Linked DNA regions of Macaca fascicularis. The protein of the gene in region 1 interacts with the protein of each later gene in a biochemical or structural test. Links are inferred from orthologs where the notes say so. Each region holds a gene or a part of one and is shown on either strand. Other genes may lie near its edges.

Evidence for each region. The genes of interacting proteins can lie anywhere in the genome.
Region 2: the proteins of GPRASP1 (region 1) and OPRD1 form a complex in vitro, tested with the Homo sapiens proteins (2 studies listed by BioGRID and IntAct). The link is inferred for Macaca fascicularis from reciprocal best matches to the Homo sapiens genes GPRASP1 and OPRD1.

Annotation. Positions count from the first base shown.
Region 1 is NC_088395.1:109,045,064-109,048,808, forward strand, and holds the start of GPRASP1 (G-protein coupled receptor-associated sorting protein 1), read left to right. Parts: upstream 1-1,423; 5' UTR 1,424-1,748; intron 1,749-2,805; exon of another isoform or gene 2,806-3,045; intron 3,046-3,355; 5' UTR 3,356-3,401; intron 3,402-3,745. UniProt on the Homo sapiens protein: Modulates lysosomal sorting and functional down-regulation of a variety of G-protein coupled receptors. Targets receptors for degradation in lysosomes via its interaction with BECN2.
Region 2 is NC_088375.1:206,216,770-206,220,514, reverse strand, and holds the start of OPRD1 (delta-type opioid receptor), read left to right. Parts: upstream 1-1,419; 5' UTR 1,420-1,644; coding exon 1,645-1,871; intron 1,872-3,745. UniProt on the Homo sapiens protein: G-protein coupled receptor that functions as a receptor for endogenous enkephalins and for a subset of other opioids.

The sequences.
Region 1 (3,745 bases):
GGTCTAATATCCAGAATCTACAAGGAACTTAAATTTACAAGAACAAAACACCACCATTAAAAAGTGGGCAAAGGACATGAACAGACACTTCTCAAAAGAAGACATTTATGCGGCCAACAAACACATGGAAAAAAGCTCAACATCACTGATCATTAGAGAAATGCAAATCAAAATCACAATGAGATACCATCTCACACCGGTCAGAATGGCAATTATTAAAAAGTTAAGAAACAAGAGATGCTGGCAACGTTGCGCAGAAATGGGAACACTTTTACACTGTTGGTGGGAATGTGAATGAGTTCAACCATTGTGGAAGACGGTGTGGCAATTCCTCAAAGATCTAGAACCAGAAATACCATTTGACCCAGCAATCCCATTACTGGGCATATACCAAAGGAATATAAATCATTCTATTACAAAGATACATGCACACGTATATTCATTGCTACACTATTCACAATAGCAAAGACGTGGAATCAACCCAAATGCCCATCAATGATAGGATTAAGAAAATGTGGTACATATACACGATGAAATATCATGCAGCCATAATAAAGGATGAGATCATGTCCTCTGTAGGGACATGGATGGAGCTGGAAGCCATTATCCTCAGCAAACTAATGCAGCTACAGAAAAACAAATACTGCATGTTCTCACTTATAAGTGGAAGCTGAACAATGAGAACACATGGACACAGGGAGGGGAACAACACACACTGGGACCTGTCAGGGGGTGGGGTGGGGGGAGGGAAAGCCTTAGGAAAAATAGCTAATGCATGCCAGGCTTAATACCTAGGTCATAGGTTGATTGGTGCAGCAAGCCACTATGGCACACGTTTGCCTATTTAACAAACGTGCACATCCTGCACATGTATCCCAGAACTTAAAAAAAAAAAAAGAAAAGAAAACGAAAATTAAGGGCTGGGAGGGGGGACTCGAAGGAACACAAAGTTTGCGGAATCGATTAGTACGTATTCTCCTATCTTAGTCTTGACTCTCTTTGCCGACTTCCCTACCTTGGGCCCCACCCCGAGACCGCCCATTTCAGTGGGCCTCTGTGTTTGGAGAGATGAACTTCTAAAGACTGGAACACTTCCTCCTGTCGGCCAGAAGAGATTTCCTGACACCACAGCTGAAAACCAGTGTGCATTTCAGTTCAGGAAAGAACGGTAGGCTTGCTGCGGGGAGCTCCCGCAAAAGGGAAACTAATACAGAAACACTCTGGTATTTGTATGCCTCTCTTGTTCCAGCGCCGTTTTCCCTATATCCGGAACTCGCCCCTGCGCATTCCAATACCTGAAGCGGCCACAGGGTACAGGGCTCGGAGCCCGCCTACAGAAAGAGTCGCGGCGCTAGACAAAGCCTGATATCACTCCGCTTCCATAAGCCGGATCCCCATAAACTACGCTGTAGCTCCTCCCGCTGCCGATGTGGGTAACCCGGACGAGGAAGAACCTCGTCTGCGGAGGACAAGGTAGATGTTAAATGGTAACTACGCTCGAGGTTCTGAGGAGCCCTGGGAACAGGAAGGAGAAAAGAATACCAAAATTGACAACAGTTTGCCAATCGCAGTCTTTAATCTGATAAAGCGGTTATCTCGTCTTGAGTCCCAGGTGCCGGGTCAGTACCCATACACAGCCGCCGCCATTGCCTCGAGTCCTTGTGTCTGACTGTCTGTTCCTGCTGCTGTATGACACAGCACCTCGAGGCAAGGAAACAAGAAAACTACCTCTGATCCAAGCAGAGAAGGTCGGTGAGAAAGTGGGCATTGCTTGGGGGTGGATGTGGCTATCGGAGGTGAACACTGGTTACGCGACCTGGTCATGGGGGGCGGGCGGTGAGGAGAGAGAGACGGGTAATAGGAATGGCTCACAACAAGAAAAAAAAAATGATCTGCCTTTTGCTAGCTTGATTTCCATACACTCGGTCACCTCAGACCATGTTTGGGAAGAAAAAGGTTGCAGCTTCTAGCAGGGAAAAGACAGACTAGATAAGAGGAAGAGAGGGCTGCTTCCATAGGCGAGGACAGTTGTCTGGGGAGCCCTGAGAGAGAGAGAATGTAAAAAGAGGTTGTAAATGTTTGATAATCAAGGCTCTGTATTCGAAAAGGGCCTCATGTCTTGGTTACTGGTCTGACCGTTAATAGCCACGTCTGTCTCTCTCTGTCTTTCATTTGTTCTTTGGGTGTGTATGTGTAGATCTGTTCCTAAGTTTGCAGCACTCCATGTTTCTGTACAGATCTGTAGGGGACAGCAGACCACAAGGGGAGAGGAGAAGGAAAAGAAAATTGGCATGGTTTTTACAGAGTGGGCAGTACTTGGAGGCAGTACTTGGAGGTTGTAGATGGCTAAGATTACAGTAGGCAGGAGTGTAAGGGAGCCTCCAGAACTCTCTGCCAGCTTTCCTAACATGTCCTCCCTTACCCGCATTATGTTGCAGAAAATGATAGGCTTTGGGAGAGAGGAAGGAAACATAGGAACCCAGATAAAATATGGAAATAAATACTTTTCATTTTTTTCCCAGCCTCCGTGGTTTGTCTAGGCATTTCATCCCTGTTGACACCACTACTACTACCCTGTAGGGATGTTTGAGTTGTCTCTGTATAGGAATTGTCAGACTTTGAGAATAGAGCAGAGGGGCTTGAAGATTTAGGAGTGGGAGAAAAAGGGGAGATAGAAAATGTTTGCCGAACAGGTATCTGTATCCAGAAAGAATCTGTGCCCTGGGTGCTGGTCTCTACCAAAGACAACCTCAACTGTCTCCTGTGTCTTCATTTATTGGTCTCTGTTTTTGTGCATCCCTGTAGGTAGATCTGTCCACCGGTCTGTGGAACTGTCAGTTGTGAAGTTTTGTTAAATGGTCACCCAACTTAAAACTAGGAAATTACAAAGAAGAGAAAATTGCCCTGTATCTGTTAAGGTTGGTGTAAAGGTACAGGGACGGGAGCAACTTTGACTAGAGAATTCCATCTCTTCTGTTTTGTCATTTTACTAGTTATGCCCATCCACCCCACCCCCTGCTGCTGCTGATTTAGTTGGGAGTCTTGGTAAGTTGTGGGGATACAGAATACTAAGACCTGCCTTTCTCACTCTCCACTTGCTTGTCCTGCTCTCGTGCTTAAGCCTAGTCTAATCTGAATGAGGGACATTCTAGGGCAATCACTGAAGAGGAAGATGGTGGGCAATAGGGAGGAGAAGGAGAAGTAGCCCTGAAACAAAGCAGTGGGGGAGAGGGGACTAGGAGGAGGGAAACACTAGACAAAATGTATCTGGAAAGGCAAGAATCGGGGCCAGGGACCAAGGTCTGTCACCAGGAGATCAGTTTCCACATTCTCCTGTTTGTTTATTTGTCCATAGGTCTGCCTGTAGATCTGCTGTAGGGCTTGTCACCATTGGAAGCAAGGTAAGGAGGAGAAAGTTACTCCAGATCAGTGCAGGTTGGTATGAGTATGGGGATTGCCTGGGTAGACCTGTAGGATGGAGTGGTGGAGAGCTGCTTGGCTCTAGCAGGGGTCAAGAACCACTAAAGGGATTCCTCACCTTCTCCTCCAGTTTTCCTACTCCTTATGCTCCTGTTTGGTGACTGGAAAGAAGGTTGATAGCACTTGGAAGTGTAGGGAGTGGGTGAAATGAAGGGAGAGAGAGTTCGCTAATTACCTACCTCTCCCACCAAGCACTGAATCTCCATATTCTCCTGTCTCCCTGTGCTAATCAGCATGAGGAGAAAAAAACTGAAAGAGACTCAAA
Region 2 (3,745 bases), on another chromosome or scaffold:
ATTCTGGCTTTTTTTCCGGGAAAGGGTAGGAGCCTTGCACATAGATGGATGACTCAAGCTAGAGGGTGACGTGAGGGAGGGGTCTTTGTCCAGCCACACACAGAGCCAAGAGCATTGCCCCAGAGCCTAGAGCTCAGAACCCCTAATATTGTTCCACTTCAGTTCCCTTTGGGATCTTTATCATCCAAAAAGCATTTCTTGAGCACCTGCTGTGACCTCAGCCCTCTCCTGGATGCGGGGGTCAATCAGTCCCTTTAAGGAGGGAGACCAGTTCGGATAGGTGGGATAATCTGGTGCTGAGTCTCAGTCTTCTCATCTGTAACATGGGAACAATAATAACAGAAGCTACTCCAAAGTGTTGGCGCATGGATAAAGTGCTTATCACAGTGCCTGGAACAGAGTAATGCTTGGTAGAGAAAATATTCTGGAAAGGCTGGGCACCCCAAGGAGAAGGATGGCTCTAATCTGGAATGGTTAGGTCTTGGAAGGGGTGTGGCAAGGATGACTTAGCCAAGTGCCCCACTTCTATCGGCCCGCACTGCAGCCAGAGCGCTCCTTAAGGTCGTCTGCAAGAACCTGCCCACCACCTCATCGCCCCCTCACTTCCTGCCTTCTCCTCTTCCTGGTTTCCTTTCAGTCCCTCTGCTTCCTTTATCCGGAATCCTCTTCCCTTGTTTCTTCCTTAAGTTAGTTCCTCCTCAAACTTCACCCCTCCCCTCAAGCGTCGTTTCCCCAGGGAAGCTGTCCTGACCCCTGCGTTTTGCACACCCTGCCACTTTCTCAATTCGTACCTATATCTTAATGGCATTTTAGGATTGCTCTCTCTTTCCTGCACTGGGCTGTAAGCCCCAGGAAGCAGAGGCTGCATCTGGTTTTGTGTACTAGAGGGTCCCCCCAAACACTTGGCTTTTCTATTAGGCACCTTCAAAATTTTTGTTGAGCGAATGAATGGGATGCAAGAAAGGCACGGATAATACGGGTGATTTACGGAGCATGTAACTGTGCGCAGGGCACTGCGCTACGCTCTTTGTTCGAATCATTTTATTCAGTCTCCCCAATCACCCTCTGAGGGCGGTGGTACGATTTTCCTCATCTCACAAAGAGAATGAAGCTGAGGGAGGTTAAATGACTTACACAAGGTCACTCCGCCGGTTAGTGCAGGGGCGGGAGGCGGGATCCACACCCAGGTCCCTCTGACACCAAAGTAGCAAGGGGGTGAGAGGGGAGTCCAGGCTGGGACGGGGGCGCACCCGAGCCGGCGGAGCATCCCTAGGGAGGGGGCGGGAGGCCTCCCCTGCCCAGCTCCGAGCCAGTGGTGCAGCGCCCGCCCCCGGTCGCGGGCGCAGACTGGCGGCCGCCTCCGGGCCACGTGGTGCGCGCGGCGGGCGCGTCCGAGGAGCCTGCGGCTGCTCCTGGCTCACAGCGCTCCGGGCGAGGAGAGCGGGTGGACGTCGGGGGCTGGGCCGGTGCGGGTGCGAGGCAGGCGGAGGAGGCGCAGAGACAGCGGGGCGGCCGGGACGCGGCAGCCGGCGGCGTCGGGGCCGCGGCCTCTACCTTCCCGCTCCCTTGGTGTCGGATCCCCGCGCCCAGGGCGCACGGTGGAGAGGGACGCGGCGGAGCCGGCCGGCGGGGCGGCCGGCAACCATGGAACCGGCCCCCTCCGCCGGCGCCGCGCTGCAGCCCCCGCTCTTCGCCAACGCCTCGGACGCCTACCCTAGCGCCTTCCCCAACGCTGGCGCCAATGCGTCGGGGCCGCCGGGTGCGCGGAGCGCCTCGTCCCTCGCCCTGGCAATCGCCATCACTGCGCTCTACTCGGCCGTGTGCGCCGTGGGGCTGCTGGGCAACGTGCTCGTCATGTTCGGCATCGTACGGTGAGTCCGCTGCGGGCCGGCACCGCAGGGATAGGGCCCGGGGGGAGGGTGGGGATCACGAACTTGGGACCCCAAGCCCGGACCCTGGACTCCCTGCGCCTCCGCACTTCCAGCAGGGGCACCTGGGGCCCAGCGAGAGGTGAGGCCACTTACATCGAGGGGGACACAGGAATGTGTGTCATCGTGTGTGTGTGTGTGTGTGTGTGTGTGCGCGCGCGCGTGTATGTGTGTGTGTGGTGGAGGGGGTTGCGCCGCAGTTGAGTAAATTACATTTGATTATCTGTTGGCATTCCCTTGTTTCTTTGTGGGACAGTTTGGCGTCAGTTTGTGTATCTGTCACAGTTTGTGATTGGATGGTTGTGACAGTACAACTGTATGTTTGGACGTCGGAAACATGCCCATGGGGTGGGCAGAGCTGCTCTGAGGTGCCGCGGGCCTTTGGGGAGACCGGTGTGAGGGCACCGTGCGGGCAGGGCAGACAGGAGGGTGCTGGGTGTCAGCACCTCGCCGTGGGGCCCTTACCGAGTCATATTTGGTGCTCATCTGTTGGTGTGTGCTTGTCCCTAACGGTCAGTTTGTGATTCTGTCTGAGTGTAACAATGTGACTGTTGTTCTTGTCAAGCCCCTGAAACCCCGAGGGCAGCAGAGCGTCCAGAGTGGCCGCACCTGTGTTTGTGCAGCTGTGTGTGCCTTTGTCAGTGATTTCCTGGATACCATGGGCGACAGCTATGGGTCGCCAACCGGTTCTCTGTTCCCTTCCCCAGTGGCCATCTGGTCAGGAATTCTGAATAGGATTCAGAGAAGCCTCACGCCATCCTCACAAATGCCGCCTCCCATTTTCTCTTTGCCTCCTCTAACAGTCTTTTCTTCTGCCAAAGGCAGCAGAGGTTTGTCTGGGCTGGAGTGGATTTTGGGTTTTCATCCCAGGAAGTGAGGTGCTCTTCTTGGAGTTTATGGAGAGTGCGGGGACCTTCTCAGAGCGCCTAAGACGTCAGCTTGCCCCAGAAGTAGCCCTCCTGATACAGCCCATAAGCTCAGACGTGGCCAATAAGGGTTGAGAGGAAAACTTCCATCCTTAAAACAACAAAGATGCCCTGGTATTTACTGTTAGTTGAAAATGGGTCCTCCATGCTGGACCGAGGACATGGCCCTAAACCTCTCTGGGCTGTGATGCCACCGTGCAGGGCATAGGTCAGATCGTGGACTCAGAGGTTGGAGAGATGAACTGTAGTCTCAGCCCAGTCATGGATGCCCAGGCACCATTCTTCCTGCCCCGCCTCCCATCCGCCTCAGTTTCCCTGTCCGAAGAATAGAGACCCAATCTCCTCAATTGGAAAGTATGAATTCCAGGGTATGGGGTGTCTGCAGGGCAGAACACGGTGTGTTGGAGCGTGGGATGAGGTGTGCGGGTGTCAGTGGGCTTCGGCATTGATGATCTCTGGGGGATCTTTGCTCCTGCAGAAAGAGTGGCGGGTACAATAATTTCCTGTGCTTTCCATGACTCATCACAAGCAACAGGGAGAGAATCCCCCCGCCCCCCAGCACAGGCGGAACTGATCTTTGCTTTGTGTCTTTGTCAGTGATTCTCCCCACTTCACAGGCTTAGAGGCAGGCCGGCCTGGGTATGAATCCCTGCTCTGCCACGAACTGGCTCTGTGACTTGGGCGAATCACTTCGCCTCTTCGAGCTGCAGTTTCTTCATCTGTAGAATGAAGTAATGATAAATCTTCTTCCACAGCGTTGTTGTGAGGTGTCAGTGAGAGAGCACATAACGCACTGGCCTGGCGCCTGGACCCAGTGAATGGACGCTGTCTGTATAGCGAGGATTCTAGATCCTGGAGAATCCAACTAAAGAAGGGAGCTTGAGGGAGACG